Pelodiscus sinensis: one gene and its partners. The protein of the gene in region 3 purifies or fractionates together with the protein of the main gene of each other region. This does not show direct contact. Links are inferred from orthologs where the notes say so. Each region holds a gene or a part of one and is shown on either strand. Other genes may lie near its edges.

What was found. The genes of interacting proteins can lie anywhere in the genome.
Region 1: the proteins of DDX21 (region 3) and DKC1 purify together in Homo sapiens (co-immunoprecipitation; 3 studies listed by BioGRID and IntAct, with this or other methods). This does not show direct contact. The link is inferred for Pelodiscus sinensis from reciprocal best matches to the Homo sapiens genes DDX21 and DKC1.
Region 2: the proteins of DDX21 (region 3) and CDK9 purify together in Homo sapiens (affinity purification with mass spectrometry; 3 studies listed by BioGRID and IntAct, with this or other methods). This does not show direct contact. The link is inferred for Pelodiscus sinensis from reciprocal best matches to the Homo sapiens genes DDX21 and CDK9.

The regions. Positions count from the first base shown.
Region 1 is NC_134723.1:737,194-744,802, reverse strand, and holds the start of DKC1 (H/ACA ribonucleoprotein complex subunit DKC1), read right to left. Parts: upstream 3,006-7,609; 5' UTR 2,915-3,005; coding exon 2,899-2,914; intron 2,196-2,898; coding exon 2,137-2,195; intron 1-2,136. Other genes in the region: 40-kDa huntingtin-associated protein-like, read right to left, coding at 5,799-6,809.
Region 2 is NC_134732.1:10,828,198-10,836,142, forward strand, and holds the start of CDK9 (cyclin-dependent kinase 9), read right to left. Parts: upstream 3,006-7,945; 5' UTR 2,888-3,005; coding exon 2,760-2,887; intron 1,240-2,759; coding exon 1,158-1,239; intron 201-1,157; coding exon 110-200; intron 1-109. UniProt on the Homo sapiens protein: Protein kinase involved in the regulation of transcription.
Region 3 is NC_134718.1:28,634,645-28,642,587, reverse strand, and holds the start of DDX21 (nucleolar RNA helicase 2), read right to left. Parts: upstream 3,013-7,943; 5' UTR 2,944-3,012; coding exon 2,548-2,943; intron 432-2,547; coding exon 162-431; intron 1-161.

The DNA of each region.
Region 1 (7,609 bases), on a different chromosome or scaffold from region 3:
GGACAAAGACGTCTTCATTCTCCGACATAACACTATCCCACCTCAGGTCCTTGTGTCCCCATGGACAGCATACACCAAAACCAAGGCAAGAAACAACACTACCCTGCCTTCCGTCCTGCTGCTTCTTTCCCCTCCATCCTCCAAATGAAGGCCTAAAATGGCAACCATTTAGGTTACTGTAGCTACATTTACACTACAGCCCAGATGGATGCGCTGAGATTGATGAACTGGTGATCAATTTAGTAGGTCTAGTGAAGACCTGACAAATCAACCGCAGATCACCATTCTAATTCACCCTGTTACTTTACCTGGAAGAGAAGAGTAAGGGAAGTGGATGGGAGAGTTTCTCTTGTCAGCCCCCCATAGAGAAGACCTCAAGGTAACTGGAACTAAGGTATGCGGACTCCAACTGGTAGCTAGAATTGCATAGCTTAAGTCAACTTTCTGTTGTAGTGTGAATAACATTGTTAAAATGAATTTAAGTAATTGTGTAAACGTGAAGAGAGAAGGCTCCCTGCATGTATGGCAGTCCTGGGCAAAATCTGGCCCACGAAGCCACCAGATTCAACCTGCAGAGGCAGCAGGGAGCCCCTGGCAGGCTCCCTTTCTTGCCCCATGCAGAAACAAGGCTGCAGGGCTCCATTTAAAGTTTTAAGAACCGCCCTGCCCTCAGTATATTTCCATTGGCTGGTTTCTAGCAGAAACCAGCCAATGCGAGCTGCTTGTTAGAACAACAGGCAGCTAAGAAGAGTCACGCCCCCTCTCCTAGACCCAGTTCTCCATGAAGCACATGGCCAGGCAGGCAGGCTGGCTGGCTAACATTGTAAGCTCTGCAGGTAGGCAGGCTACTTTGGCAGCTGACAAGTCTCTCAGCCATACCCTGCTTCTGGCACCCTAGCCCTTTCCTGCCCCAACTCTCTCCCCTCTCCCCCAACATACCCAAGCCTTCTGTCCCCCTCTTACACCTATACCCCCTCCCATATCTGGCACCCAACTCCCTCCCAGACTCCAGTCTCCCTCCTGCATCCCAGACCCTTACCCCAAGCGCCCTTCTGCACCCAACCTCCATCCCAGACCCCACATCTCCATTAATACTATGGAAGAATGTGGCCCTCAACCACTTTCCACAATTTTGGGAAGGGCCTCCCTTCAAAAATTATTGCCCACCCCTAGGCTACGTCTAGACTGGCATGATTTTCCGCAAAAGCTTTTAACAGAAAAGTTTTTCCATTAAAAGCATTTGCGGAAAAGAGCGTCTAGATTGGCACAGACACTTTTGTGCAAAAGTACTTTTTGCAGAAAAGCGTCCGTGCCAATCTAGACGCGGTTTTGCGAAGGCGAAAATGGCAATTGGGGCTATCGGGGCTTTTTTGCGCAAAATAGTTTTTAGCTGTCTACACTGGCCGTCCTACGCAAAAGCATTTGCACAAGAGGGCTTTTTCCCGAGCGGGAGCAGCATAGTATTTGTGCAAGAACACCGACGATCTTACATTAGATCGTCAGTGTTCTTGCGCAAATTCAAGTGACCAGTGTAGACAGTTGTCAAGTTTTTCTGCGGAAAAACTTGCCAGTGTAGATGCAGCCCTAGTGTACAGGGCGGCAGGTGGCTCCCTGGGAGCTGATGCACATGGGGAGATGGCTGTTAAGCCGGCTTCCCATGCATATAAGGAGCCTGCATGTAACCATGCGCATTAATTGATGAGCCCAGGCTTATTGGTTAACTGTGCGCATAGATACACTTTTACATCCCTTATTAAAACGGTTAGGGCTTTTCTTCAGTACATGTGCTCTATTTATTGCATCCTTCAGATATGCTAAATCAGTCTCTAAGCACTCTCCCTTCGGCTGGGGCACTGCACCAGGATGAGGAGAGCATCAGCCCCCTCCCCTCGCACCTCAATGCATGGAAGACACCACGTGGCGTGCTGACTTCAGCTAAGGCCGCGCAGCTGGAGCGGGCAATTGTGGAGCGGCCGCGGCCGCAGGGCGAGAGTCCAGACATGGCCCCGAGACACGGTTCTAACCCCCCCCCCCCAAAAGCGGCCGCCCGGCCCGTCAGGCCGACGCCCGAGCCAGGCTGCAGGCCAGCGGGGGGAGGGGCGCCACGAGGAGCCCGCCGGCCCCGCGGAGACTCACCGCGACATCGGCGTCCGCCAGAGACTTCTCCTTCCTCCGCTTGTGCCGCCGCGCGCCCCCTGCGCGGGACAGAGCGGGGGGGTCAGCCCGGGGCGCCGCGCGGAAACCCCCCCGCGGCCTGGAGCCACCGCCCAACGGCCGGGCCCCCTCCCCCGCGGCCCCCGCCCCCCCGAGCCACCGCCCAACGGCCGGGCCCCCCCCCGCGGCCCCGAGCCACCCCCCCGCGGCTCCCGCCCCCCCCCCGAGCCACCCCCCCGCGGCCCCGAGCCACCCCCCCGCGGCCCCCGCCCCCCCGAGCCACCGCCCAACGGCCGGGCCCCCCCCCGCGGCCCTCGCCCCCGCGGCCCCGAGCCACCCCCCCGCGGCCCCCGCCCCCCCCCCGAGCCACCCCCCCGCGGCCCCGAGCCACCCCCCCGCGGCCCCCGCCCCCCCGAGCCACCGCCCAACGGCCGGGCCCCCCCCCGCGGCCCTCGCCCCCGCGGCCCCGAGCCACCCCCCCGCGGCTCCCGCCCCCCCCCCGAGCCACCCCCCCGCGGCCCCGAGCCACCCCCCCGCGGCCGGGCCCCCCCCCCGAGCCACCCCCCCGCGGCCCCGAGCCCCCCCCCCCCCGCAGCCCCCGCCCCCCCGAGCCATCCTCCCGCGGTCCCCGCCCCCCCGAGCCCCCCCCCCCGCAGTCCCCGCCACCCCCGGGGCCCAGAGCCACCGCCCAACGGCCGGGCCCCCGCCGCCCCGACACAGGCCCAGGCCCCCCGTGCCCCTCACCTTCCCCGTCCGCCATCTTCGCCGCTCGCCCCGCCAGCCGCGTGCAGCCGCCACCGCGCGCGCAGAGAGACTGGCGGGCCGCCCCCGTCCCGAGATGCACCGCGCGCGGGCCCGGCCCCGTCACGTGCTCAGGCGCCCGGAGGGGGAGGAGCTGCCGGCCCGCCACGTGACGAATCGGGCCGGGCCCGCGTGAGGCTCAGCCCGCCCCCGCCAGGATCCAGGCGCCCGGAAGCTGTTACAGCTGCGGGCAGCCGGCCCCGCAGAGGCGCACCCCGCCTTCCCGGGGCTCCGACCGCTGGGCCGGGCCCTTGTGCCGTGTAAACGCGGTGCCGAGGGGTTTGCCTTCCACAGAGGCCCGCTAGCATGGCAGGGCCCCCACCCAGCGGGAGGGATCCAGCCAGGAAAGCCCTTCCAAACCGCTTCCAGGCTTGCATGACTGTCTTAGGACTAAGCTTGTTTTGTCCCCTTTGCTGGACACATTCCTCGTTCAGTGGGTGAGTCTTCCACAACGGCAGGGCAGCTGCAACATTGTTCTTGCCCAATTTTATCTGAAAGGTGTAAGATACAGGAGTAGCTCTCTAACATTTGTATCCCTGGTATCGTGCTCTCTGGTACTGCACTTTGTTGCAAGGCTTGAGACTAACACAAACTCAGCTTCAAGACAAAGGAAACTCCATTCTGAGTTCCAGTAGAAAGATGCTTCATTAGTCATACCTCAGCGCATATGCCCATTTCAAAACATTAGTGTAAAGTTCACTCTTATATGCAAAAATCAGTTTACAGGTGCACGTAAAGTAACACACACACAAAATACCCATCCATTTCCAGCACTTTACAGGGACATTCTGTCTCCACTTCCTACTACGAGAAAGGCTTGAAGTATTTTTTTAAGCAGCTTCCAAACAGCCTCACTTTTATTCACACAAAAGACCAGGCACGCCACATAGTTTGAAGTCCAGAAGGTTCAATTTGTGTAAGAATTCAGTGTGCAAAAAGAACAAAATTGTTTCTTTAGGATACATAAATACAGTTAAAGGGAAAGCACAACTAAAGTTGATCCTCTGCTGGAAAACATTCTTTCCAGAAGATGGCCAGCAACATGCTCTTCTCAGGGCAGTTATCAGAGCTATTCTGCATTTTTCATCATGAAAATGCCATACAAACATTATACTTGCACCAGAGATTTGTAAAATGGGAATGCAAATACAAGTAGGAAAGCACACCTACAAAGAATAAACGATTTGTTCAAGACTAGAGTTAATAGTGTGGAACCAGCTTCCAGGCCCAGATTTAGTTCATTAGATCACAGACCGGGTCTACCATCCAATTTTTAATTCTCTTCATCATTAAAATAGAAAAGTTAAGAGTTAAAAACTAATTGTGCTTTACAGAGATCAGTTTTGCCCTCCCCTAGAATGCACACCTTAGCAAGTGTTGCAAAAGCATATCCGAGGACCAAAGTTACGGGTAAGTGTTCCCCCTACACCCATACATTCCTTTTAAACTGCTGTAACAGGCCTGATAAATAGCAAGATAGCATATGTAGCCAATGCCAAAATTAAACACATTCCACACCCACCTTTACTTACTTGTTGAATGAAACCAACAAAGTAGTGAGGCTAATGAGCTACAAGCAGGGACTCCTCCCCACATTTCCTAGGTTGTGGCTGGTGACACATTGAACAGTAATCAGTTTAAGACTATAATATTTACTGAATTATAGTTTAAAGAATGACAAGGCTTCAGGATAGATAGTTTTCTAGAGACACCAATGTATCTACAGCATTACATTAACAGAGCAAGAGCTTGGACGGAGAGCCAGGTAGTTAGAAAATACAAATCTCAGGCAACAGAAACACTGAAACAGAACCCGGACCAGAAGGGACATAACAATACAATTTTAGCTTCTCATTTAGTTTTTAAATGGAAAGAATTATGAGCACTTTAAACAGAAATGGTATTTTTGCTCACATACCTAAAACTACTCTAATTTTTAAACATACAGAAAAAATGCACTAATCATTATATCTACAAATGTGAGACTTTTAAACTAGAAGGCTGAATCCTGGCATTTGGGGACTGTTTGGAAAATGAGTGCCATTTGCAGTCTCTTAATAAAATATGGCAAGAGTCCTGCCTCTTACGAACTTGAGCTGTGATAGCACACAGTTTCTAATGGATCAGGTCATCTCCTGCAATAGGTATATTGAATCTGTGAGTGAGAGGAGTATGGGAGAAGTGCTGGGGCTGAAAAAGGACATTTCTCTATAACCAGAAGTAGTACATAGGAAGTGTTGGCATATCCACATTCCTCAGCCTCAAAGGGAAAATAGTCTCAAGTGGCATTACATAATTCTTGCCTATATGCTGATGGTCACAGGGAGATAGGTGAACTCTGGCTGCACAGTGGTGACAGGCCAAAATGGAACAACCCTGTGTATGGCTGCTGTGGGAAGCAGAACACCATGGTGGATGAAACGAGTCATGCTGGTAGTGATGCTGAGTAGGGCTTAGACTCTGTGGCTAGCAACAGAAAGGTACGACCACTTCCCTGGGGAACCAGGTGGGCTAATCTCTGGATGATTGCTGTAGGTGTATGAAGTTAATTTCTCTGGTGATGTTTGGTGAGTGTTTTGGGCTATATGAGGGAAATAGCAACAGATCAGTGAAGGTGCAGTTAGTCTGTGGAGATGGCAGACAATACAGAGATGCCATAGTGATGGCAGCTGAAGGTGGGCAAAGCCTATCCCGCTGGTGATGCTACTTGGGGACTCAGGAGTCCCACTGAGGCAAAAGCGGGTGGGTGGGGCAGGCCTCTCTTTCAGGTGGGAAACAGACTCCCTATGGAAGTGGCAGCAAGCAAGTGAAGCCAGTCTGGATGTGTGTGGGGGGGGACGGACTCAGGACCCCTGACCAGCAGGACTGATCATCTCTTGCAGCACTAGATGGAGCAGGTGGTTCTGCTCAGGGCTGAGCAGCGGCCAGAGCTCAGCTTGCAACACCTTGAGCGCCTCCAGGTCCTTCTCCTGACAGGCCATGACAGCGGACTGCAGCAGGAGGAAGAGGCCCGGAGGCAAGTACCCCGCCTGGGGGAGCTGCCCGGCCCCCGCCCCGCTCTCGAAGGCCTCCCAACAGTACTTCTCCAGGGTCTGGGCATGCTCCGGCAGTAGCTTGGGTGGCGGTGGCTGGAGCAGCAGCAGCAGCAGCACCCGCGACACCTCGCAGCGCACCAACACCTCCAGGAACGCGCCGCTGGGAGGGCTGGGCCCAGCCTGGGCCAGCAGCTGCGCCTGGGTGAGCACAGCCAGGGCCCCGTCGTAGTCGCGGCTGAGCAGCAAGCAGGAGGCCAGCTCGCCCAGGCAGCGCAGGGCCTCCAGGGGCAGCTGGGCGGCCGCCAGCAGCTCGGCGGCGCGCTGGAACTGCGGGGCGGCCTGGCCGGGCTGCTCCATGTCCCGCAGCGCCGCGCCCAGCTCCAGGCACAGCCCGGCCGCCAGCGCCGGCTGCCCCAGCTCCAGGTGCAGGCGCGCGGCGAAGGCGAAGCAGCTGTGCGCGGCCTGCAGGTGCTCGGCGAAGCCGCCGCTCAGGCCCAGGCGCTGCCGCAGGTCCCGCTCCTGGCGCAGGAAGAGGCGCGCGGCCTCGCTCAGCGCCTGCGCCTCGCCGGGCGCGTGGAAGAGGCTCTGGGCGCAGCGCGCCACGGCCAGCTGGCACCAGGCGGCGTAGGGCAGCGCGTCCTGGGCCCGCAGCTCGCGCGCCAGCGCCGCGAACTGCTCCGCCGCCTCCGACACGTTCGGCTTCCGCAGGAAGCGCCGCCGCAGCTTGGCCGACACCAGCCGGTAGCGCGCCAGGAAGTCCCCGTCCCAGCCGGGGCCGCCCGCCGCCGGGCCCGCGCCCGAGCCGCCCGCCGCCGCCATGCCGCCGGAAGTCGCCCCGGAAGTGACGCCGCAGCCAGAGCGCCAGCGGAAGGGGCGGGGCCCTGCCGGGAAAGGCCGGCTGGGCGCCGAAAGCAGGGGGCGCTAGAGCGCGGCGCGCGGTATGGCCAGTGCTGCAGCCCCGCTCCCCAGCACGAGCGCCTCCTACCGCCGCGCCCAGGCACCGCACCCTGCCCCCCAGCGCCTCCTACCGCCGCGCCCAGGCACCCGCACCCTGCCCCCCAGCGCCTCCTACCGCCGCACCCAGGCACCCGCACCCTGCCCCTGCCCCCCAGCGCCTCCTACCGCCGCGCCCAGGCACCACACCCTGCCCCCCAGCGCCTCCTACCGCCGCGCCCAGGCACCCGCACCCTGCCCCCCAGCGCCTCCTACCGCCGCACCCAGGCACCCGCACCCTGCCCCTGCCCCCCAGCGCCTCCTACCGCCGCGCCCAGGCACCCGCACCCTGCCCCTGCCCCTGCCCCCCAGCGCCTCCTACCGCCGCGCCCAGGCACCCGCACCCTGCCCCCCAGCGCCTCCTACCGCCGCACCCAGGCACCCGCACCCTGCCCCTGCCCCCCAGCGCCTCCTACCGCCGCGCCCAGGCACCCGCACCCTGCCCCCCAGCGCCTCCTACCGCCGCGCCCAGGCACCCGCACCCTGCCCCCCAGCGCCTCCTACCGCCGCGCCCAGGCACCCGCACCCTGCCCCCCAGCGCCTCCTACCGCCGCGCCCAGGCACCCGCACCCTGCCCCCCAGCGCCTCCTACCGCCGCGCCCAGGCACCCGCACCCTGCCCCTGCC
Region 2 (7,945 bases), on a different chromosome or scaffold from region 3:
GCTATTTTGTATTGGGCTAGTGCATTTCACTGAGAAAAAAATAAAGGGTACACTAGAGATCAACTGATGTAAGTTAAAAAAATAAAAAGGAGGAACTAAAATGTGCTACCTTTGGTCCTGCAGATTTCTATGAGGTTCACTACATTCTCATGCTTGAGCAGCTGAAGGATTTTGATCTCACGCAGGGCTGTGATGGGGAACTAACAAAGAGCCACAAGTTAGAATTGCAAGAGAAGATCCCAGTCTAATCTAGATCAGGGGAGGGGAGGAAAGGGGAGAGGAGATAATTATGGCAGAAATCTCAAAGAGATGTATTCAAGCAGACAAAGTGCTGCTGCTCAAACCACAGCTAGGGTCAGAACAGAGCCTAACACCAACATTGTGCAGTTCCAGATTTATTCACAGTGACTTCCAGTTTATAACTCTTAGCACCTAGTAACTAAAATAGCTTGTGTTGACTGTCCGGAACACCAGACTGGATCAACTACTTAAAAAAAACCCTGAGATGTGGAAGAGAATCCAGTGTGTTGTTGCTTCTTGAGATGACCAGCAAAAGCAATACTGATGTTTGCCATTAAAACATGGAGACACTTGTTAATGTGTGATCCCAATTAGAATGCAGCTCCCCATCTCCTCAATGTATGAACTTTACCATGTGAGCAGAAGTGAAATCTTATTGGGCTCAACAGAGATGCGATTCAGACACCCATGTAACATGGAAAGACTTTTGTTTTAAACCAAGTTACTTCCTGATACATAGGTAGGGGTTTAACTGGTTAACCAATTAAGGGGAGGTGCAGTCCAGATGGGCTGGAGCAGCCTCTGCCTGCAGTGCACCCAGGCCCACTGCCAACAGGGACTGCTCCGGACACTCAGGAGCTACTCCGGACACTCAGGAGCTACTCCGGCCCCCACAGTTTAACTGTTTATCCAGTTAACCTTTTACATCCCTAATACACAGAGCAGCACAACACTTTCTAAATTGAAATTATTTCTATATTGGTTTTTACTGCTGTAGATCCTGCAAAGTTACACACACAATGAATTTCCATATCCCACAAAGATTGAGACATTGTCTACTAAAGACATATGCCCAGCTCGCAAACTCCCACCCTTCTAACCCAGACACAGTAGAGGCACATGCCCAGCCATCTTACCCCCTCCTTCTCATTTTCCATCAGCACTTTCTTCAGAGCCACTTTCTTGCCTGTCTGCCGATGTTTTGCTTTGAACACTTCCCTGCAGAGAGGATAGAAACACATGGGCATTCCTGGAGGAGTTGAAGTAGCCAAGTGGAGCAGGCACAGCCAGCCAAGACTTAGGATGTTAACTAGTGATTAATTTATTAGCTGAGTTGATTACTAGTTGATAAGCACTTCCACGTTCCACCTTTGAAATATACAAGAGCCCCCAGGGCCCTGGGCATTTCAAAGTTGGTATGACACACACAGCCCAGCAGGAAGTCCCACTGACTCCATAGGGGCACTTCTGCTTTGAAATGAACAAAGTCACCAGTGGGGGCTCTTGCACATTTCAAAGAGGAAGCATCCGCATGGAGCCTGGGGTTAACAGGGGACTCATGCTCCATGCTGTGCTTCCTCCATGCCGCTGGCAACTCTTGCACAATTCAAGGATGGCATACTGGACGGAGCCTGGGGTCAGTTGGGGAGTTCCCAGCTGATCCTGGGCTCCAAGAGGTGCTGCTGCTTCAAAATGCCATGCAGAACCCGGGGTAGTCCCCAGCTAATCCAGGGTTCTGCACAGCATTTCAAAGCAGCAGCACCCCACTGGGCTCAGGGTCAGCTGGGGAGTCCCCAACTGATCCTGGGCTCCAAGCCACTTTGAAATGCCATGTGGAGCCTGGGGAGGCATTTTGAAAGGGCAGCACCACATGGAGCCTGGAGTCCCCAGCTGACCCCAGGCTCCATGTGGCACTGCTGCTTTTAAGTACCCCTCCTCTTTTCTCTCCCCCTCGCTGCCTCTATCTGATAAGGAGGGGAGGGGGGGGAGCAGCAACTAATTCTTTACATCCCCAGCCAAGACCAAACAAGACATTTCTATGCTTGCTTACAGGCAACTCAGTGCTGACCCTCTGCCTAGCCCAGGTCTTCCCACTTCGTGCCAAGAAGCACCACAATCTCCTAGGGTGCATCTACACAGCACAGTTATTTCAAAATAACTGATGTTATCTTGAAATAATGCGAGTATCTACACAGTAATTTTATTTCAAAATAATGGATGGCTTATTCCAACATCTTTAAACCTCATTTCACAAGCAATGTACTGTGGACACGCCCCTGCTGCTATTCTGAAATAGCGCCTCCCCAGGGCCACTCAAAGTAATTACTCTCTAGTGCAGCATTTCTTAAACTGTGTTCCACGGTACACCGGTGTGCGCCGAGGCAGTTGGAGGTGTGCCTTGGAGAACAACAGAGTGCAAAATGGCCAAACTTAGAGGGGCAGGAAACTTTTTTTCCCCCCCTCAATAACTCCCCCCCTTTTTTTTTTGTTGAGCAAAAAAATAAAAATAAAATAAAATAAAATCCTTGGGTGTTCCTCAGTCTTAGAAAGTTTAAGAAACACTGCTCTAGGGCCTCCTGGGGCTCTAAATCAAGGCAGCGCATCCACATTAGGGGAACCTGACTGGGACTAACTTTGAGGCTCCCCTGCAGTGTAGACGTGCTATTTCAAAACAAGCTATTTCTGAGTATTTCTCCTGGAATCGCTCATTCTGAAATACAGGTGCGGTGCAGACGTACCCCGAGAGAGCCGGCTCGCAGATTCCAAGGCAGGTGAGACCGGCAATGGACCAGCCTCTCACCGATCTCCAGGCGGGGGGGGGGGGGGGGATCTCAGACCCTGGGCATCTCCTAAGACACCAAGGCATTTTGGAGGGCGAGGGCGAGTCGATCCCTCAGCGCCCCCGGCGGGGGGGGGTCGCTCCCAGAAGGCCGGGCTGGCAGGAAGCCGGGTTGGGGGCGCTGGGGGCCGCAGGGCAGGGGGCGGCCCAGACCCGAGCGCTGGGGGGGGGGGGGCTCTCACCCGAACGTGCCCTGCCCGATCTTCGCCAGCTTCTCGTACTTGGACACCTCGTCGCAGAAGGGGCACTCCACCGTGTCGTACTGCTTGGCCATGTCGGCCCGCAGGCCCGGCTCCCGCTACTAGGCCCCTGTCGCCCCCGCGACTGCGGCGCGTTTGCTCACGTCATACGCCGGGCACGTCCGCCCCCGTGAGCCTTGCCCCGCCCCTTCTTCCGCCGCGCCGCCGCCTGGGAGTTGTAGTTCTCGTAGACCTGGCACTTGGTTAGCGGTCCGCAGCGCCAAGGGCCCGCCCCCAGGAGTCCCAGGCAGGGACCTCGGGGCATCGGCCCAGCTCCGCCCTGCGCTCCCAATGCTCCCCGGCCGGAAACTGCAACTCCAGCCTATAAGAGAAACTACGTTGAGCCGGGGCAGGGCCAGTCAAAGCCATTGGCCTGGGCCTCAGGCTCAAAGGGAGCCTCACGTTCAGACATGTGGCTGTGTCTACACTGCACCCCTGTTCCGGAAAAGGGATGCAGATGAGACAAGTCGGAATTGCAAATGCAGCGGGGATTTAAATTTTCCCCGCTGCATTTGCATGAACATGGCTGCCGTTTTTTCCGGCTCGGGGCTTTGCCGGCACAACGCGCCAGTCTAGACGGGATCTTTTGGAAAATAAAGCCTTTTCCAAAAGGTCCCTTATTCCTCTTAAAATCAGGAATAAGGGACCTTTCAGAAAAGGCTTTATTTTCCGAAAGATCCCCGTATAGACTGGCGCTTTTTTCCGGCAAAGCCCTGAGCCGAAAAAAAGCGGCAGCCATGTTCATGCAAATGCAGCGGGGAAAATTTAAATCCCCGCTGCATTTGCAATTCCGACTTGTCTCATCTGCATCCCTTTTCCGGAAAAGGTGTGCAGTGTAGACACAGCCACAGTGTCTTGGCACTTGATAAGTCTGGTATCTTGTGTCACGGGCACCCCTGTTGGGCCCAAAATGTGACCCACGCTCAGCTTTTCCTGCATAGAAGCATTTTTACATTAAGAAACATTGAAATCCTGTCTCTCTCGTGTGTATCGCCAGTGGCCCTGACACATAGGAAATATTCCCTGATGGAGAGCACTGGTCCCAAACTGTTCAGGGTTACACCCTCCCTTACACCTGTCAATACACCCTCAAACCATCCTGCAGAGCCACAGCTCTCCAGAGGGAGGGCGAAAAGGGACGAGGGTAACAGGATTACAACTGGGGGTGGGGGTGGGTCTGGGGCCAGGATCAGCGCCACAGCCAGAGGCTAAGGCTGAGACTGACACCAGAGCTGGGTGCAGAGTGGGAGATGGGGATGGGTGCATGGTCAGTCAGAGGTCGTGGCTGGGGAGGAAGCTGGAGCAGAGCTGGGTATGGCAATGGTCTGTCCTTGCCTCTGGGGGCTGGCCTGGGCCCCACTGTGCCCCTTGTATGTTCCACCACAGACCAAAGACCATTTAGGAGGCAATGCCCCACAATTTCTGCACATTATCTTCTCAGTGCATTTCCCATCCCTGACATTCACACACACATACACCCAACCCACACTTCCTGCCATTACTCACAATCAGCAGGAGATGCAGCTGCTAGCAGTATCTCAATGCCAGTATCCATGGCATTGATGGATATGAGCAGAACGCCAGCAGGGGGGGCTTTGAAACAAGCCAACAGTATTAGCAATAAGGCAAGCAGTGAGAGATTTAGCTCTCACATACATGAGACTAAGTCAAGTCAAGCCAAGATTTCAGGCAACAGAAATGGGCCTGCTGAGAGAGCAGAAACTAGTCTAGTCAGTACAGTAGGGTGCCACTAATAATCTTACTGCCAGGAAAGGAGAAAGACTAGAGGGACTGGAGTGGTTAGGACAAGCAATTGTGAGTCAGGCCTGACTTTGCCACTGACTGCTGGTGTGGCCTTAGGTAAGTCATTATCCTCTCTGAGCCTCAGTTCTTTCCTTAAGGTAAAAAGAGAAACCTAGAGGAGCCATGTCAAAAACCTATTCCACTGGTAGTGATACCAATAATTCACTTATAGACTGGGGTGCAAGAGAACCAGCAAAAAAGGGGCAATTTGCATGGCTCCTGAGCAAACCACACTGATCAGCTTCCATTCTGTAGTGTCCTGGCTACTCTTTGAGCCCTTGTATACTGCATTAAGCACATCCCCTGCTGTCTGATCCCTTGCTTAGACGCTAGCACCACATGTATTCTCTGATCCATTGGAGACTGTGTCAAATACATTCCTGCATACATCTAGGGCAGATCCTCAGTGGGTGTGAAATGGCATTGCTCTATTGACTTCATGGTCCTGTGTCAGTTACACCATCTGTAGATCTGTTCCCTAAAGTTTTGTCAGCTTGCTGGTTCAGTGCTTCTGGGAGCCAGGGGATTATTTTTCCCAAGCCCAGAAATGAAGGTGACTGTTCCTCTCTCTACCCCATTCCAAGAGGAAGTCCCTGAATAAATAATTCCAAGGAGAAATCTGAGTGAGTTCCATGTATATTCCATTGCCTCTTCCCAAAGTCTGTGGCCCTACCCCACCCCTCCATCACAGGCCTTTTCTCAGGGATGCCAGCTCTGTGTTTGCCTGACCCTCGAGCAGGCTATTTGCCTGCTTGAGTGGTTCCTTTTCATTCTGGACTCCATCTGTTGCTATTTACTAGTTTCCAAACCAGATGCCACTCATCTTTCACCTGGTGAGCTGCATAACAGTGGTGTCATTGGAGTTGGGGATGGAGGAAAGTGTGCATTTCCCTCTGAGGGCTAGCAAGGCAGCATGGTTTTGCATCAGCTTTACCCATGGCCACTGGCCCAATAGCAGAGCAGGCAGTACACAGGGTTTGTACAGATTTATCCACCCTCCCAAGTGACCCAGACATTAGGAAAGGGGAGGAACTTGTAATCAGCAGCAGGCCTGCCAACCCTCTTGAGTGCGCTAAGGAATAAAATAACTTTCCACTTTCCTTAAGGAAACTCCCACCCAGGTCAGCTCAGATGCCCTGCAGTCTTCTCTTCCTGCAGTACACATTGTAGGGAACAGCACTGCGCTAGCCCAGAGGAATGGACAAGCTCTTACCTGGTTCTGATGACTCTGTGATCCTTGTTCACCCTACTGAGAAAAAGCTTTCCTGCAATAAACAAAAAATTCACATTGCTATACCGAGCAGAAATATTCTTTGCATGCGCAAAAGCCCTCCCGTGCCTCTGTTCTCTGGGCTGGCTCCTCCTTATGGGAGGATTTTCAGATTTCACAATGGTGCGATATCCAGTCTCATCTCCAAGGTGAAACCATTAATGTTATTTAGGAAAAACAATAAGGGGTCCTTAAGGGCTAACAATTGTATTATGAACCAATAAGTAATTCTGTGGCACCTTAGAGACTAACAAAAATATATGGGGTCATGAACTTTCCTGGGTAAAACCCACTACAAGCTTTCCATGAGCTGCAATTCACCTTATCAGATGCATGAAGTGAAAGGCAAAGGAATCAGATAGTAGGAAATTTCCATTTTAAGTATTCTCACCTTCTTATCCACATCCATCCTGATTAGCCATGATGTAACACTCCCATCTCTATGCCCCTATTTGTTTCCTTTGAGTTTCACTTCATGCATCTGATAAGGTGAATTGCAGCTCAGGTAAGCTTATGCTATAATCAAATGTTTAGTCTTTATGGTGCCACGGGACTCCTTGTTTTTGCTGAAACAGACTAACATGGCTACCTCTGAAACCTGTTTGTTAAAAAGTTTTGCCTAGTGGGAAGAGCGGGTATTCCTGTTTTATAGTGGCTTGGCCACTAAGCCACAATGTAACTTGGGGGGAAATTTTCAAAAGTGGCCTCTGGCTTTGTGTGCCTGGCCGGAGAGACTTGTACCTGCTTTTTGGAGGTGCCACTGGGAGCTCTTAGTTCTTGGCGCCTCTTAAAATCAACCCTAACTTACCTTCCCCATCCCAAACTAGCAGCCACTCTTGCAAACGCAGGTCCTGCCTTTGAGGGTTCTTCGAGATCTATGCGTGAACCAGAGGCAGGAGAGGGTGTGCACAGGACAGTGTGCGGATGCATCAGAGAGAGCCCTACGAAGGACACCAGTGACTGGCATCCCACTGTGACCCTGTGGTTTGTGGTTTGGCTTGGCATTCACTACCCAGAACTGTCCCATCTCTTTGTGGACACAGAGCAACAAGCAGCTCTCCTGAGCCTGGCAGGCTGATCAGGCCATTTGTTTCTGAAGAATAGTCCGTGGGGAGAGCACTCACGTTGGGAACACTGTGTGCCAGCTCCCCGGCACATGCACGGGAGCCACTGCCCATGACTCATCACCTCTCCTGGCTCGGGCATTTAATTGAGACGCAGGAGTGAGCCGTCGGGGCCCGGGCTGCCGCTCTCCATCCTGTTCTATCATTTCCCTACGTCAGGGGCCGGTGAGTAGATTTCTTCCGTTGCCTCTGGGGCCTTTGGCAGGAAGAGCCACAACAAACAAGAGCAGAGTGAGCTCATCTTGTGGGGGAGGTGATTCCTTAGATGCACGTCCAGAAACAGCAAGAGGAAAATGCAACAACCTGGCGTTAATGTAGTGCTGGGGAGAAATGCCAGGTCGCTGGGCCTGGGTTCTGATGATGTATGTGTATCCAGACAGCAGATCCAGCCCAGGCACAAGCAGAGCCCCTCATGCAATGGGGAACTCCCACATCACCTGGCACAAAAGAACCATACGGCAGCACAAGACCCTTCACAAACACAGAGGTAGGTGTGAGCCCCGATCTAACATCTGGGCTCAGGATCAAGGCTGTGAACGGTTACACTCGGGCATCCTCTTGACCAGTGTTCTCTGTAAGCTGAATGCTTGGATGGCCACCAAAGAGGGATTCCAGTGCTGCCCTGCCCAGCTAATTAGCAGACAGCCAC
Region 3 (7,943 bases):
GTGCTATGCCTCATAGAGGTACAGCTCAGAATCTATTATCCTCTGCTACGACCAGTGATGACACACAAGGTTTTTCCTAGCAACCCTAAACACTTTTCCACAAAGTAAACCTGGTCAATTAGATTTTTTAAGCAGATAAAATTAAGGGTTTTAGCATGTACCTTTACTGGCTCTTGGTCACTGTCATACTCTGCACTTGATGCTTCGCTGGAATTACACTGAGCTTTTGAGTGAGCAATGCCATTGCTCATGGAGGATTTCACCTTATCCTCTGAGCTGTTTTCTTCAATATCTCCGTTCACTTTTTCTTTAGCTTTTTTCTTCTTTTTGGGTTTAGGAGGATCAAGGTCATCTTCAGATAGCTCATTTTCCTCTATTTCAGATTTCAGTTCCTTGACTTTACCATGGTGTTTAGATTTCTCCTTTTTATCCTTCAGAGACACAACATCAAATAGAAAAGGACAAAAAAACAAAATCTATGAAGAAAAGTAAAATGTCTTTAGACTTTTAATCTGTGAAGCCTGAGCCTCTTCAGGAAGAGCAGAGGATACCTCTGTCATCAAAAGCTTTCTGGCAGTCACACCTCATCATAATTAAACTACCCCCCCTACTGCAAGAAGATAAACAATCTGTGACTGAGTGAGACTGATAATGACTACTACCTACTGATTATGAGAACCAGACTGTTCTGAGGCTAGTAGCGGATGTCACATGCACCTACCTGTTTACAATCTCATGAACACCACATGATAATATTTATATTACAGAAGCCCCTAGAGCAGTGGTGGACAACCTGCAGCCCACCTGGAGCCCACGGACCCCTTGGCTGACCCCCTCCTCCATACCTCTCTCACACACTGGGACACAAAGCCCTGCACTTCATACACCTCCTCCCTTTCTCCCAACAGATTTGGGGTGTGCAAATCAGGCAGCATTCCAACTCCGGGAAAGGAGGAAAAGAGAGCAAGGACAGAGCGATTTGAATGCTCTGAAAGTGCTGGGAGGGGGAAATGCAGGTAAGCGTGGGGCTCCATTAACTGAGAAATGTGTGGGCAGGAGCCCAGCCAGGAGGGCTGTGGAGCCACAGGTGGAACCCCCATGGACTGCAGCCTGCTGTTGCCCACTGACATAAAGGCGGGCCATTCATGGTTGCCCATCCCTGTTCCAGAGGCACTGAAGAGTTTGGAATTCTATTTTATTAGGCACTGTACATGCACATTTTTGTAATAAGGAAACATTTACAATCAAAACAGACATGACAAAGGACAGGAGAAGAAACAGAGCACGAAGTGAAGTCATTTGCTCAATGTCATGCAACAGGTCAGTGGCAGGGTCAGAAACACAACTCTCTCATGATTCCCAGTCCAGTGTCCTATCCCATCCACTGGACCAAGACAGTAAACCAAACCTCAAACTTCAGGATGTGATGGACTATAGATACAGATGTGCTGTAATCTAGCTAGGGACATGTTGCAATCTGAAAAGGTGGCATGTCTATACTGCAGCTTAGAAGTGAATACTAGCATCAGCAGACAAACTCATGTTATCAGTGCTCAAATTAACGCTCTCAAAACAGCAGCGGACATTGGCACAAGTGATGGCTTCTGTTAATGGCCCCAGGCCAACACCAACCATCCACCTAACTCAGGTGGCTGGATAGCCCAAGCCACTACATATGCCAAAAGGACCACTCTGCTATTTTATGGTCCCTCTAAACTAAAGAGGAAGGTCAGCTTAAGATACACAACCCCAGTTATGTTAATTACATAGCTGGAGTAGACATTTTAAATCACAATCCACACAGGGAGAGGCAGATGGGAACAAAGGATCCTGCTGGATTCCCTTACTCCGGTTGAGGAGCAGGAATATCAGCACAAACAGGGGCACCTTCTCAGTTTGAATTAATGGGTCTTCACTAGATGCGCTAAACTGAACCCCGGGACATCAAAGGCAGCACCGTCAATCTTCCGCATAGTGTAGACAGGTCTTAAAGCCCTAGCTAATGCAGAGCTCGCTCGAGTCATCCTATCCACGCTGGGAATCGCACCTTCCGATTGCAGTGCACACAAGTCCCCGTGTATCGCTGGAAACTCCTACTCCATAGGACGCCTGGCGGGGGCAGTTTCAGGGCGCGCTCGGAGGACCCCGCCGGGCCAGAGAACACATGGGTCTGAGCCTGCACAGCGGAGGGCTCGCACCCTTCCCGTCGCTTGCAGCCTGCCAAGGGGGCAGAAATGCGGCAAAGCATCGGGGCGGGAGGCGAACGTCCAGCCGCTCACGAGCCGAGCGAGGGGCTTGGCTCACCCAGGCGGGCGCTGCCCGCAGCCACTGGCAAAGAGAGAGGGAGGCGCCCACGTGGCGCAGCCATGGAGGCCGAGCTGCGAGCCACGACCAGCCAGCCTCCCGCACAGCACGGGTCTATGGGGAACCCCTGGTCCCGGTTCTCCCTCCGGCCGGCGGGAATCGTCCCGCCCCACCCCCTCTGCCGCCCCGGCCGGGGATCCCGGGACAGCCGGCCTCTCCCCCTCCAGGGTTCCGCTTCCCTACCTTCTTCCTCCTGCGGCCCGCCCGGACGGCCTCGCCTTCCAGCGGTGTCTCGGGCTCGCTGCCGGTCGGCAGGAGAACGGCTGCGGGCATTTCCTGCGGCTGTTCCCCGCGGAGCTCGGGCGGCGAGCAGCTGGGACGCTCGGCGGCGGCGGCGAAAGGAACGAGCCCCGCCCCGGGCCCGACGCACAGGAAGTGAGGCGCGGGGGTGAAAGCCGGGCCCCAGCGCCGGCCGCGTGGGAAGGGCGCTGCGCCGCCTGCTGCTGCGCCGGACTGGAGCAGCCGCAGCGCCGGGCGGGAAGCGGGCGGGGGGCGCGCGAGCCTGGAGGCCAGAGCCGGGAGTCCCGCCGCGCCCGGCTGCCCGCCTTTGCGGAGTAGCGTGCGGCACGCGGCGCCCATCAAGCACCCTGGGCTGGGCTGGGCGTCGCGCGCCCCCGCCCCGTCGCGCGTCACCCGGCCGAGCGCCCGTTCGGTCCCTGCGCCCTCCCCAAGCCTCGGGGCAAACGGCTGCGGCTGGAACTTCCCCTGCGCCCCCGCGCACAAGCCGGCTCCCCCCGCAGCTGGCGTCAGCCGCCCGGGGCTTGGCGCTCGCGCGCTCCCGGCTGCAGGGGCCAGGCTCGGGCTGCGGCTGCACCGCCCATGACCGAGCCGCTGGCTGCGCCCGGGAACCCTGGCCGGGAGCACGTGCCTGCGGGGCAGCCCTGGCTTAGGGGTTAGCGAGCCCTGCCCAAGCCCGGGGCCCTCCGCGCGCAGACCTGTCCGAGTATCCCTGGGGCGGCGGCACCACCCTCGTGACGCTCTCGCCCTAGGGCCGGGCCGCACCGGGGGGAACCCGCACGGCCTACCCTGCTCCTTACGGGGAGCTTGGGCAGCCCCGGCAAAGCCTGCCGAGCAGCCATTTTGGTCAGTGCGCTCCCCGCTGCCAGCGCCAGCAACATGGAGGAGGCTCGCCTTTGGATGAGCCCCTCTTTGCTTGCACCTTCACGGCTGTGTCAGGAAACTGGCGGAGCTGCAGAGAGGCGCTGGTGGGCACTTCGGCCGCACTTCCCGTCCCACCGACTCTTTTCTTGATGGATGTGCAGGGAGATGTATGAGGCAGCAGAAGCGGATCCTGGCATCACAGCCTCTCAGTGGCAAATGCTGCTCAGTATAATTGGCACGGCTGCTGGGACCACGTTGTCATGCGGCCCTGGGATGACCAGCAGTGGGTGCAGAACTTTCACATGAAGAAAGCTACATTTCTGGAAGTGTGAGACCAGCTTCTTCCCACCCTGTACTGTAGAGACACATACAGGGTCACCCTTTGCCAGTCCAGAAGGGGGTAGCTATAACTATCTGCAAGCTGGGTACTCCAGACTGCTAAGGGTTTGTTGCCAACCAGTTAGGGGCTGGCAATTCAAGTGTGGGTAAAGTGGTGGCAGAAGTAACTGAGACAATCATTTGTGTGGTTTATCCCAAAGTGGCAGGCTTTAAAAATATCCCTGAGGTAATTGCTGGCTTTGAGAGAATGGGGTGTTTCATAATTGTGGAGGTGGAAATAATTGTGGAAATCACGTGCCCATTGTTTGCCCACCTCACAGAGCACATGAGTATTTAAATCACAAAGGATACTACTTCACTATTTTACAATCACTAGTAGACTACAGAGGCAGATTTATGAATGTTAATGTGGGCTGTGCATGAAAGGTTCACAATGCCAGAGTTTTTTGTCACTTTGGAGTGTACATCCATGGACAGGCTAGGACACTATTCCCACCCAATGACATTGACATAAATGGTGTTACTATCCTCAATGTTATTCTGGGGGATCTTGCATACCCACTTTTGCCGTGGCTTATGAAATCATACCTTGATGTCAAAGGCACTGGAAAAAAAAGGTGTAATTACACTCTCAGCAACTGTAGAATCGTTGTTGAATGTGCTTTTGTTAGATTAAAAACACGTTTGAGGGTTACAAACCTATTTGTATGTCAGTGTCATCAATGCTGTCTGTATTGCTATGCTCTTCACAACTTTTGTGAATCAGAGAGGAGCCCTTTCCCCTAAATGCACCTATGACAACAAGGGAATATTGCATAAGTACCCTCTGTGCAGCTATCACCCTGGAAGCTCATTGCACCCAGGCAGCAGAAGTAAGGGATGCTTTGTGTGGGCACATTATGGACTTAACAGTACAACAGAAGAGGGGGAATAACACCAGTACAAACATGCTGTGCAGGAAAACTGGCTTAAAAATCTTGAGATGGGCGTGCATGTAAGTCATGCAGTGCATGTGAGAGACATAATAAAAACTGTATTGGGGGGGCAGCAAATAAAGGAATACTGTTTTCTGTATTACGCTTAATTGCTCCTTAACATGTTTTTATCTTTATCTCAAATCCTGATATTCTGTATAATATTCTTTATTTGTTAATAGGTATGTAAACAGTAAACCACTCATAGTCTTGGGCAGGCCAGCTGCCAATACAAAACCAACCTCTCTCTCCCCCAAAAAAGGGCAGGAAATAGTTACTACCCAGCACAGTCCTTCTATCCCTACAGCTATGTCTACACTGTAGGCTTCTTACACAAGAATGGCCGTCTTGCGCAAAAACTTCTGCAGTGTCTATGCTACACGCTGAGACTAACACGGCTACATTTCTATCACTATGCTACACGCACATTCTTGCGGAAGTAAATTTACAGTAAAGTGTCAGAACAGAGGGTTTCTTGTGCAAGAGTTATTCCTCTCCCCAAGAGGATTAAGCCCTCTTGCGCAAGAAGGCAGTGTGAATGGGCAACAGGTTTCTTGCGCAAAAAACCCCTATGGCTAAAATGGCCATTACAGCTTTCTTGCGCAAGAGATCATCCACACTGCCATGGATTCTTGCGCAAAACAGTTCTTGCACAAGAAGCTTGCAGTGTAGACATAGCCTATGTGTATGCTGGTCCCAACTTCTCTTTTCCCTTCTTTATGGCTACGTCTAGACTACATCCCTTTTTCGGAAAAGGGATGTAAATTAGACGTATCGCAATTGCTAATGAAGCGGGGATTTAAATCTCCTGCGCTTCATTAGCATAAAAATGGCTGCTGCTTTTTTTCGGCACGGAGCTTTGTTGGAGAAAAGCGCCAGTCTAGATGCTGAAATAAGGGATCTTTCAAAAAAGGCTTTATTTTTTGAAAGATCAGCGTCTAGACTGGCACTTTTCTCTGACAAAGCTCCGTGCCGAAAAAAGCGACAGCCATTTTTATGCTAATGAACCGTGGGAGATTTAAATCCCCGCTTCATTAGCAATTCAGATATGTCTACGCTGCTCCACCACCATCCTCCAGCTGGGTTGCTGTTTCACTGTGGCAGTGGGAAGCGGAGTGGCCCAGCCTCACCCCACTTGCCCAATTGATGCTGGCTCAGGGAAGCAGAGCGGACTGGGGCTGGGTCGCTCTAGTGCCCACCACTATGGTGAGTACGATGGGGGTGATCCCTGCTGCCACCCTACAGCAGGCCCCTGGTAATCCCTCAGCTCACATCTCTCAGGGAAGGGGGCTTTGGGGAAACGGTGCAATGGGAGTGGATAAGGATGGGGTTTGAGGTGGCATGGGTATGGATTGGGGCAGAGCAGGGGTGGGAGAAGGTGGAGTCTGGGGCAAAAGAGGGGTTGCTCCAGGCCCTGCATCACCCAAGAGAAGGCCTTGGATGAAGTGACCTAGAACACAGGCCATATAGGTTAAGAGTCCTGAAATAGGACAAAAAATAGAGGGTTATTGTTCAAAGCAGCTCAGTGGAGGAGCACAGAATTAGTAACTATGGAATGTCAAATAAAATGTAGCGATCCTAAAATTAATTTGCACATACTCTGGAAGGGATATTTAGGCAGCACATATCCAGGGAAACCATTTCAGATTTGGAGGGGGGAAGAGAGCAACCAGTGCACGTTGCCATGTTGGGAAGCAGAATGAGGGCACGGAGGAGGGGGGAGAGGACCAGACTGAGAACAGTGGCTTCAGCAGTGTTCCTAAGCATGCTCAATACAAGCCAAGCAGCGAATCATAGAATACTAGGACTGGAAGGGACCTTGAGAGGTCATCAAGTCCAGTCCCCTGCCCTCATGGCAGGACCCAATACTGTCTAGACCATCCCTGATAGACATTTATCTAACCTACTCTTAAATATCTCCACAAGATGGAGATTCCACAACCTCCCTGGGCAATTTATTCCAGTGTTTGACTACCCTGACAGTTAGGAACTTTTTCCTAATGTCCAACCTAAACCTCCCTTGCTGCAGTTTAAGCCCATTGCTTCTTGTTCTATCCTCAGAGGCCAAGATGAACACGTTTTCTCCCTCCTCCTTATGACACCCTTTTAGATACTTGAAAACGGCTATCATGTCCCCCCTCAATCTTCTCTTTGCTAAACTAAACAAACCCAATTCTTTCAGCCTTCCTTCATAGGTCATGTTCGCTAGACCTTTAATCATTCTTGTTGCTCTTCTCTGGACCCTCTCCAATTTCTCCATATCTTTCTTGAAATGTGGTGCCCAGAATTGGACATAATACTCCAACTGAAGCTTAACTAGTGCAGAGTAGAGCGGAAGAATGACTTCTCGTGTCTTGCTCACAATACACCTGTTAATGCATCCCAGAATCATGTTTGCTTTTTTTGCAACAGCATCATACTGCTGACTCATATTCAGCGTGTGGTCCATGATAACCCCTAGATCCCTTTCTGAAGTACAGGCAGTCCCCGGGTTACATGGATCCAACTTACATCGGATCCCTACTTACAAACGGGGTGAGGCAACCCCGCACTAGCTGCTTCGCCCCAGCAGACCAGAGAGATGCAAAGCTAGCGCCCGCCCCCCCAGCAGACCAGGGAGACACGGAGCGGCTTTTCTCAGCAGACACCTCAGCTTGAGAATAAGGGACTGAGGGAAGTGAGGTGTGGGAGAATAAAACTGAGCTCTGGAGAAATGTTTGGGTAGAATTTCCCCTACAATATGTACCAGTTCCGACTTACATACAAATTCAACTTCAGAACAAACCTACAGTCCCTATCTTGTACGTAACCCGGGGACTGCCTGTACTCCTTTCTAGACAGTTGCTTCCCACTCTGTATGTGTGAAACTGATTGTTCCTTCCTAAGTGGAACATTTTGCATTTGTCTTTATTAAACTTCATCCTGTTTACCTCAGACCATTTCTCCAATTTGTCCAGATCATTTTGAATTATGACCCTATCCTCCAGATTAGTTGCAACCCCTCTCAGCTTGGTATCATCTGCAAACTTAATGGCTGTGTCTAGACTGGCCAGTTTTTCCGGAAAATCAGCCGCTTTTCGGGAAAAACTTGCCAGCTGTCTACACTGGCCACTTGAATTTCCACAAAAGCACTGACTTCCTACTGTAAGAAATCAGTGCTTTTTG